Ovis aries: one gene and its partner. The protein of the gene in region 2 purifies or fractionates together with the protein of the main gene of each other region. This does not show direct contact. Links are inferred from orthologs where the notes say so. Each region holds a gene or a part of one and is shown on either strand. Other genes may lie near its edges. The genes, in order: CUL4A and DCAF10.

Region 1 (3,814 bases), on a different chromosome or scaffold from region 2:
GCAGGAACAGGCCAGAGTCCCAGGGCCTTCCCTGGGAGAGGAGGAGTGCAGCGAGGGTCGTCCCAGCTTGCGCAGCCGGGCAAGAGCACGGGCTCTGACCAGGCGGACCACCGGCGCTCCTGGGCTCAGAGGCTGCAGGGGGCCGAGGAAGCCTGCGGGGCTCGGGAGCGGGGGCAGCGAGGGTCGTCCCAGCTTGCGCAGCCGGGCAAGAGCACGGGCTCTGACCAGGCGGACCACCGGCGCTCCTGGGCTCAGAGGCTGCAGGGGGCCGAGGAAGCCTGCGGGGCTCGGGAGCGGGGGCAGGCCCCACCGCCCCTGGCAGGAGCTGTTGGAATGGTGGCAGCACGGGGCTGCGCGCTGGTGGGCCGCCGTCAGGACACGGAGCAGGCCGCATTCGGCCCAGCGGTGGCTTAGGAACTCGGACGCTGAGCCGCTGGCAGTGTCAGAGTGAGCGTGCGCAGCACAGTCACGCTCGCCCTCCTCCGCTGACAGATGATCAAGCTGCAGGAGGTGTTCAAGACGTTCTATCTGGGCAAGCACAGCGGCCGGAAGCTGCAGTGGCAGACGACGCTGGGCCACGCGGTGCTGAAGGCCGAGTTCAAGGAGGCAAGTCCTGCGCCTGCCGCTTTGCTCGTTTTTGAAGCACGTTTATGAAAAGAATGTTTTTAAGTTGCCGTTAGACTTTGGTAGCTAAGAAAGAAAGGAAGGGATTATTCAATATAACTCAACACGGGCTTTTCGAAGTCAGTAAAATGCAGTGGTCGAAGGGCTAATGTTTTAATCAATAAAATTAATGATGTATTCTCACCTGATGTCTAGTTAGGAGTGTCTCAGCACACCCGCACACAGGCCCCTCAGGGTGTCTCCTCTCCTGCTGACTAGTCAGTACCGTCTCCACCTCCCCTCTGCTGACTAGTCAGCACCGTCTCGGCACACCCGCACACAGGCTCGCCCGGTGTCCGCGGGCTGGCAGACCCACTTGTGTGGCTCCTGCTCTTTCAGGGGAAGAAGGAGTTCCAGGTGTCCCTGTTCCAGACGCTGGTGCTGCTCATGTTCAACGAAGGGGACGGCTTCAGCTTCGAGGACATCAGGCTGGCCACGGGCATCGAGGACAGTGAGCTGCGGAGGACGCTGCAGTCCCTGGCCTGCGGCAAAGCACGCGTCCTCCTCAAGAGCCCCAAAGGGAAGGAAGTGGAGGACGGAGACAAGTTCCTGTTCAATGCAGAGTTCAAGCACAAGCTCTTTCGCATCAAGATCAACCAGATTCAGATGAAGGAAACAGTATGTATCCGCTTCCTCCGCTTTCCCCGCTCACGGGACCGTAGGTCTATAGGAACTTCTCGACGCTCATTACACATTTGTGTCTGTGAGATGCTTTAGCGGAGCTGTTACTACTTTTATACTCGAGAGTGAAATTCAGAAGGGCACGCGTCTAACAGTTAACTTCCTGTGTACACAAACATGTCCTATTGAGGTCTTTGTAGCCCACCTTCTGTCCACGTAGGGAGCACCTCATTCCAAACCTGGTGACCTGTCCTAACAGCTGTGCCCACCCCCCGCCATTGTCTCAGCCTCGCTGCTGGGCTCCATGTTCAGGCTGAGTGTCTGTGCCTTTGATCAGGCTCCCTAGGGCCACGGGTCCAGGACGGCTCCAGGCCACTGTCCTCAAGCACCCTGCCGCAGGCGCCCTTGCCCCTCAGGGCTGTAGTCCAGCAGACGGGCACTGTGGCCTCGTCAGGAAGCCGCTCCGTCCAGAGGGAGTGCCAGCTCTGACTGCACGGGCCTCACAGCTGCTCCCACAGCTGCAGGCGGCCAGGGGTGCTGCCCCCCGGGTGCTCCGTGCTGCCCAGTGAGGAGGACGTTCAGAGCACATGGAGCGAAGCGTTCTTCGTGTCTTATTTTTGGGCGCTGTTTGGGCTGGTGTGGAGATTCTGTGGGTGACTTGAGACGCCTGTCACGGGGTGCCCTCAGCCTTGCTCCAGCTTCCTCACGACTGAGCTACGCGGAAGGCCGAGGGGGTGGTGGGTGCTCGGGCCATCCTTCCTCGGCGGCCTGCCTGTCACCTCCGTGCTCCACAGCTGGGCTCTCCTGGAGTTGGCAGCTTTTTCCTCCGCTGCACACGCGTAAACTTTTCTTCTTGGGATCGTGCCCTGTGGCGTTTACACACACAGTTTTTAAGCTGGGCCTCTTCCCAGGTCAGGACTTGGATTTTACATGTGCAGAGTAGCACGTTGTGTGACTTGAACCCAAGAGCGTGGAGCCCCTGCACAGAGCCTGGCGGTGCCTCAGGCCTGGCCTCTTCGGCTGCGGTGCCCTGCCCAGCTGCACTCACGCTCTCGGCTCCTGGCTTGGCTGTCTCGAGTCTCAGCTCCTCACCCTGGACTCGCCGGGTCAGAGGACATGAGCTTTGCTGACATGAGCGCGCGCCAGACTCAGCGCTTCCCCGGTCCTGCCCCTGCTCTTCCGTGGGTCACTGCTGGCGCTTTCTCGTCCTTTTAAGTAGCTGCTCGGTCTCGAGTCCCTGGCACGTTGCAACATCCCACCCCTGACTCGTAGGGAGTGCCCTGTCACGTCGCGGGGCCTGGTGGCGGGCGGCTCTGTCGCTCCGAGAGGGTCCTTCCCACGTGAGTAGGTTCTGTTCCTCTGCAGTTTCTGACCTGAGGGTCAGCTTAAGGAAGACCTTCCTCTGACCCACAGTTTAAAGAGCATTTTCTGCTGCTGCTCCAGTAGTCTGTATGTTCCAGCTTTCCCCTGAAACATTTCTCTGAGCAGCTAGAAGTTATCTTAGCATCAAGAAAGCACTCCAGCCACCCTCCCTGTTTTAAAATGTGAGTGGGCTCTCTCACAACCCACTAAGCTGTCACTTTTGTTAGAAATCCGGGTCACGTGTTCCCGGGCAGTGTCTCGTTCCTGTTTTTAAGTTCTGTTTCAAAGCCAGCACCCAAAGCATTTTAATTGGTGTCACGATTCCTGTAAATTCACTGATGTTGTTGCTGAAGTTCAGTGGTTTCACTGGACAAAGCCGCAGAACAGAACAGGGGCCCCTGCAGTCTGGCCTGCCTTCCGCCCGGAGCTCAGCAGCCCCCACAGAGGCGGCGCCGGCGCTGACCGGCGGCGGGCCCTCTCCCGCAGGTGGAGGAGCAGGTCAGCACCACGGAGCGCGTGTTCCAGGACCGGCAGTACCAGATCGACGCTGCCATCGTCAGGGTCATGAAGATGAGGAAGACGCTAGGCCACAACCTGCTCGTCTCTGAGCTGTACAACCAGCTCAAGTTCCCAGTCAAGGTAGGCGGGCGTCAGCTTGTCCAGTCGCTGCGGTTGCACACCCTTGGCCCTCTGGAGTCGGCCGTCTGTCCTGCACTGCCGCTGGCCACTAGCCGCAGGGACCTCCCTCTGCGTGCGGAGAGAGAGCAGCGCCCTCCCCTCTGCCCGCCGAGGCCCCGGCCCAGGTGCTCTGCCTTGGGAGTGTCCCCAGTGCCAGTGTCTGAGGGCTCCCGGCGGGCGTCCGGGAGGTTCTCTGTGACTGTGGTGTCAGGCTCAGGTGGATGGGCGCTGGACGGGCCGGCGGGGCGTGTGTTCCCCCAGGTTCCACAGGCCCAGGGCGAGTGGGAGGGGCTGGGGCCCCCTGCCCAGGAGACCCGGACGTTCTGCAGAGGCTGCAGGGCGAGGCCTGCAGCTGTCGGGGCAGAGCACTGCACCCTGAGGGCTGGGCCTCCCCTTCTTGCAGGGGGACAGCGTGCACCAGGGTGAGTGTGGTGTCCCCCAGTGATGAGAGCGCAGTGTGGGGTGCAGTCTCCTCACAGGATGCTCTGCA
Region 2 (3,814 bases):
GGAGACACTGGAGTCATGGGTTCAGTCCCTGAGTTGGGAAGATCCCCTGGAGGAGGAAATGGCAATGCACTCTAGTATTCTTGCTGGGAAAATCCCATGGACAGAAGAGCCTGGTGGGCTACAATCCAAAGGGTCACAAAGAGTAGGCTACAACTGAGTGACTAAGCATGTATTCCTTTTTAATCCTTTTAATTTCTGTAAGGTTGGTAATGATGTCCCTTTTAATTATGAATGATGAATTTTATCATTCATAAAGGATGAATAAGGATTTATCTATTTAATCTGTTAATGGGATAAATTATACTAACAGAATTTCTACTGATAAATCATCTTTTCATTTCTAGAATAAACCCAAAGTGGTCATGATTATTTTGATTAATTTCTTACAGGATCTCTCTTTTTTTTTTTTGGAATATTCACATCTACATTCATATTACAGACTGAACTTTCATTTTGAATTCAAGCATCAAGGTCATACCAGCTTCATACCTAAGGTAAGGAGAATTCCATTTTTCTGCAATCTGGACAGTTTAATAAAATTGGAATGTTCTGTTTCTTGTAATATTTGGTAGAAGACACCTGTAAAACTGACATGCTGCTGTTTAATTAGTAGCTATGTCTTAATTGACTTTTTTTTTCATTTCTCTAACGGTTAAAGCAGAGGTGATGTTTAGAATATTTAAATAACCAACCCTGCATGAAAACTAGCCAGAGTTGATGCTGGAATTGGATCCTGAGTTCCAGAGTTTCAGTGCTGGAACTGGATCCTGCAGTTAGTTTCCTATGTAAGAGCGACTTCGGCTACTAGATCATAAAGAGAGACCTTGAGGAAGGTATCTCCAGAGAGGTTCGTGGGTACCCAGAGGTGCTAGGATATGACACCTGAGGATGATTCATGACAGTAACTATCTATTAGTTATTTGGAAGAAATTCAATCTTTTAACAACCTTTTCAGCTAAACCAGTGCATAATGGTTAAATATCCTGGTAATGTCTATTTACGGTTTTCTATTTCTTCCTTGATCACTTTTGCAAAGGTGTATTTTTTGGGGTAATCTGTCAGTTTCATCAAAGTTTTCAAGTATATTGGCATAAATGTGACCTTATTATTTTACTTTATATTGTATTTTTTATTGTCTCTTATTGTTAGGATTGTGTCATCTCTCTTTTTTCCTTAATGTATCTTACCAGAGAAGAACAAGCTTTTAAAAAAAATCTTTATTGTACTTTCATTTTCTATTTCATTAATTTCTGCTTTTATCTTAATCATTTCTATATATCTACTTTCATCAGATTTACTTTTTTATCTTTTTCAAGTTTTTTGAGTAAGATGCTTAGTTCATTAATTTTTAGTCTATCTTTTGACTTCACTATGATTTTTTTCTTTGATCCATCAATTATTTAGGATGTAAGTTTATAAGTCTCCAAACCTTGGAATTTTAATTTACCTGTAGTTAATTAAACTATACTGAGATCAGAGAAAAGATTTGTACGATAACAATTCTTTGATACTGGTTGAGACTTACTTTGTAGTCCAGAACACACTCAATTTTTGTACATGTTCAAACTCTGCTTCAGAGGGTGTACTCACTATTTGGCAGCAGAATTCTACATCTGCCAACTAAGTCAAGGTTATTAATAACATTAAAATCTTCTAAATTAAAAAAATAATTAGTTCTAAGTTTAAACAAGAGGCTGTCTTAAAGATAATCAGTAGCTCTATGCTTGGCTCAAACACTATGCATAACTAGAAATCTTTAAGAATATTCCCCTAGTTTTACATATGAGCTCTAAGGAATATTTCAGAAACTTATAATTATTTCCCAAAATTCAACTCTTTCAGTTCTCTATCAGGAGATATTCTATTGAAGTGTTTCACAACACAGATATTAGTGACAGTTTAGATGGGATGACTGGTCCACTGTGCAAACTATCCCATGCACTGCAGGATGTTTACAAACTCTGATCTCTACTGACTAAATGTGAGTAGAAATCCTCTTCTCTTCTCCTGTAGTGACAACTAAAACTGCACTACACATTATTTCTAAACATTCCCCTAACATCAGTACCACTCTGAGAAACTACTCTTTTAATGCATGAAAACAAGCTTCAAAATTTACAAAATAGATTTGAAGGATCAAAGGAAAACATTTCAGTTCCACAAGGAAAAAACAAAATAATTTTTCCTTAAATTCAGGAAACTCATCTTATAAACCAGTTTTCATCATTAACTTGGTCTTGGTTAAGTATCTGGTACTTGGTCTCAAGTACCAAGTATTTGGTCTTTTTTCTACATAATTTTCTCCAAGTGTTTTAGTCACGATATATGACTAAGTGCAAGGAACTAAAGACAGAATCACTTTCTGATTGTTTTTCCCAAAGCCAGTTTCTTTCTTCTAAAGAAACATGAGAGCTAAGACAGAACACCGAGGTTTTTTTTTTTTTACCATTTTAAAAACATTTTTTTGTTGTTCATAATCCTAACATAGTCTCCTGTTCACAAACCTGTTGGTGTCCCAAATAATGACATTTCCATCAAATCCTGATGTTACTAAGAGTCTTGTATTAGTATCATACTCGATGTTCTTCACCCAGCTAGTGTGACCATGTAAAGTGCATACTTTCGTGTTCAGTTTTCTCAGATCCCAAAAGGCTATTGTAGTGTCATCAGAACAGGTGGCAAACAGCCGGTTATCAAGAAATCTACAAAGCAGAAAAGAAAAACTGGTTTATTTAATCTCTTATTAAAAAAAACTGCTATGTTACCTAATCAAGAAAACAAACCAAAAAAGGACTACAAACTTACTGTACAAACCCAGTGATTCTAATATATAATAGTAGTAAGTATACTTTACATAACCAGAGGATACTAGGAGTTAATGAGGACCATGTTGTAATTTTATCTACTTGTGTTAAATTATTTTATTGAAAACCAGAAATAGAGGTAGGTGTTTAGAGAACAATGCCAGAGAAAACGAATTTTAGAATCTGTATAGGAAACACAAATGGTAACAGACAATAGGAGACAAAGGAGATTTTGAATACTTAACTGCAGGTGAAACACATTAAGCATAAAGCATTCAAAATTATGACAAATATTTACTTTGCTACAAATAACATCAATTTCTATTTAGTGTACATTTCTCTTTAAAATATATTTACATATACAAAATTTTTAATCAATTCAAAGTGAAAGTGAAAGTGTTTAGTCACTCAGTTGTGTCCTATTCTTTGTGACCTCATGGACTACAGCCCACAGGATCCTCAGTCCATGAAATTCTCCAGGCAAGAATACTGGAGAGGGTTGTCACTCCCTTCTCCAGGGGATCTTCCCGACCCAGGGATCAAACCTGGGTCCTGCATTGCAGACAGATTCTTTACCAATTGAGCCACCAGGAAAGCCCAATTAACTCAAAGGCATTCCCCAAATAATCTTGCTTCTAGGACAACGAAGAAGAAATGGAAAAATTCTTAAAAAGGTACTGTCTTGAACCAAGATTAAACCAGGAAGAAACAAAATACGAACAGATCAATTATCAGTAATAAATTCACTCAGTAATTTTAAAAGTCCGCACAGGGAATTCCCTAATGACCCAGTAGTTAGAACTCTGCTTTCACTGCTGAGGGCCAGGTTCCATCCCTGGATGGGGAACTAAGATCCTGAAAGCCACATGGCACAGCCAAGTAAATAAATTAATAAATATTTTAAAATTTAAAAATAAAAATAAAAACTCCCCACAAACAGAAGTCCAGGACCAAATGGCTTCACAGATGAATTCTACCAAACATTTAGGGAAGAGTTAAAATCTATCCTT

Evidence for each region.
Region 1: the proteins of DCAF10 (region 2) and CUL4A purify together in Homo sapiens (affinity purification with mass spectrometry; 4 studies listed by BioGRID and IntAct, with this or other methods). This does not show direct contact. The link is inferred for Ovis aries from reciprocal best matches to the Homo sapiens genes DCAF10 and CUL4A.

Annotation. Positions count from the first base shown.
Region 1 is NC_056063.1:85,903,934-85,907,747, forward strand, and holds part of CUL4A (cullin-4A), read left to right. Parts: intron 1-492; coding exon 493-606; intron 607-1,002; coding exon 1,003-1,281; intron 1,282-3,132; coding exon 3,133-3,285; intron 3,286-3,814. UniProt on the Homo sapiens protein: Core component of multiple cullin-RING-based E3 ubiquitin-protein ligase complexes which mediate the ubiquitination of target proteins. As a scaffold protein may contribute to catalysis through positioning of the substrate and the ubiquitin-conjugating enzyme.
Region 2 is NC_056055.1:50,919,590-50,923,403, forward strand, and holds part of DCAF10 (DDB1- and CUL4-associated factor 10), read right to left. Parts: intron 2,703-3,814; coding exon 2,505-2,702; intron 1-2,504. UniProt on the Homo sapiens protein: May function as a substrate receptor for CUL4-DDB1 E3 ubiquitin-protein ligase complex.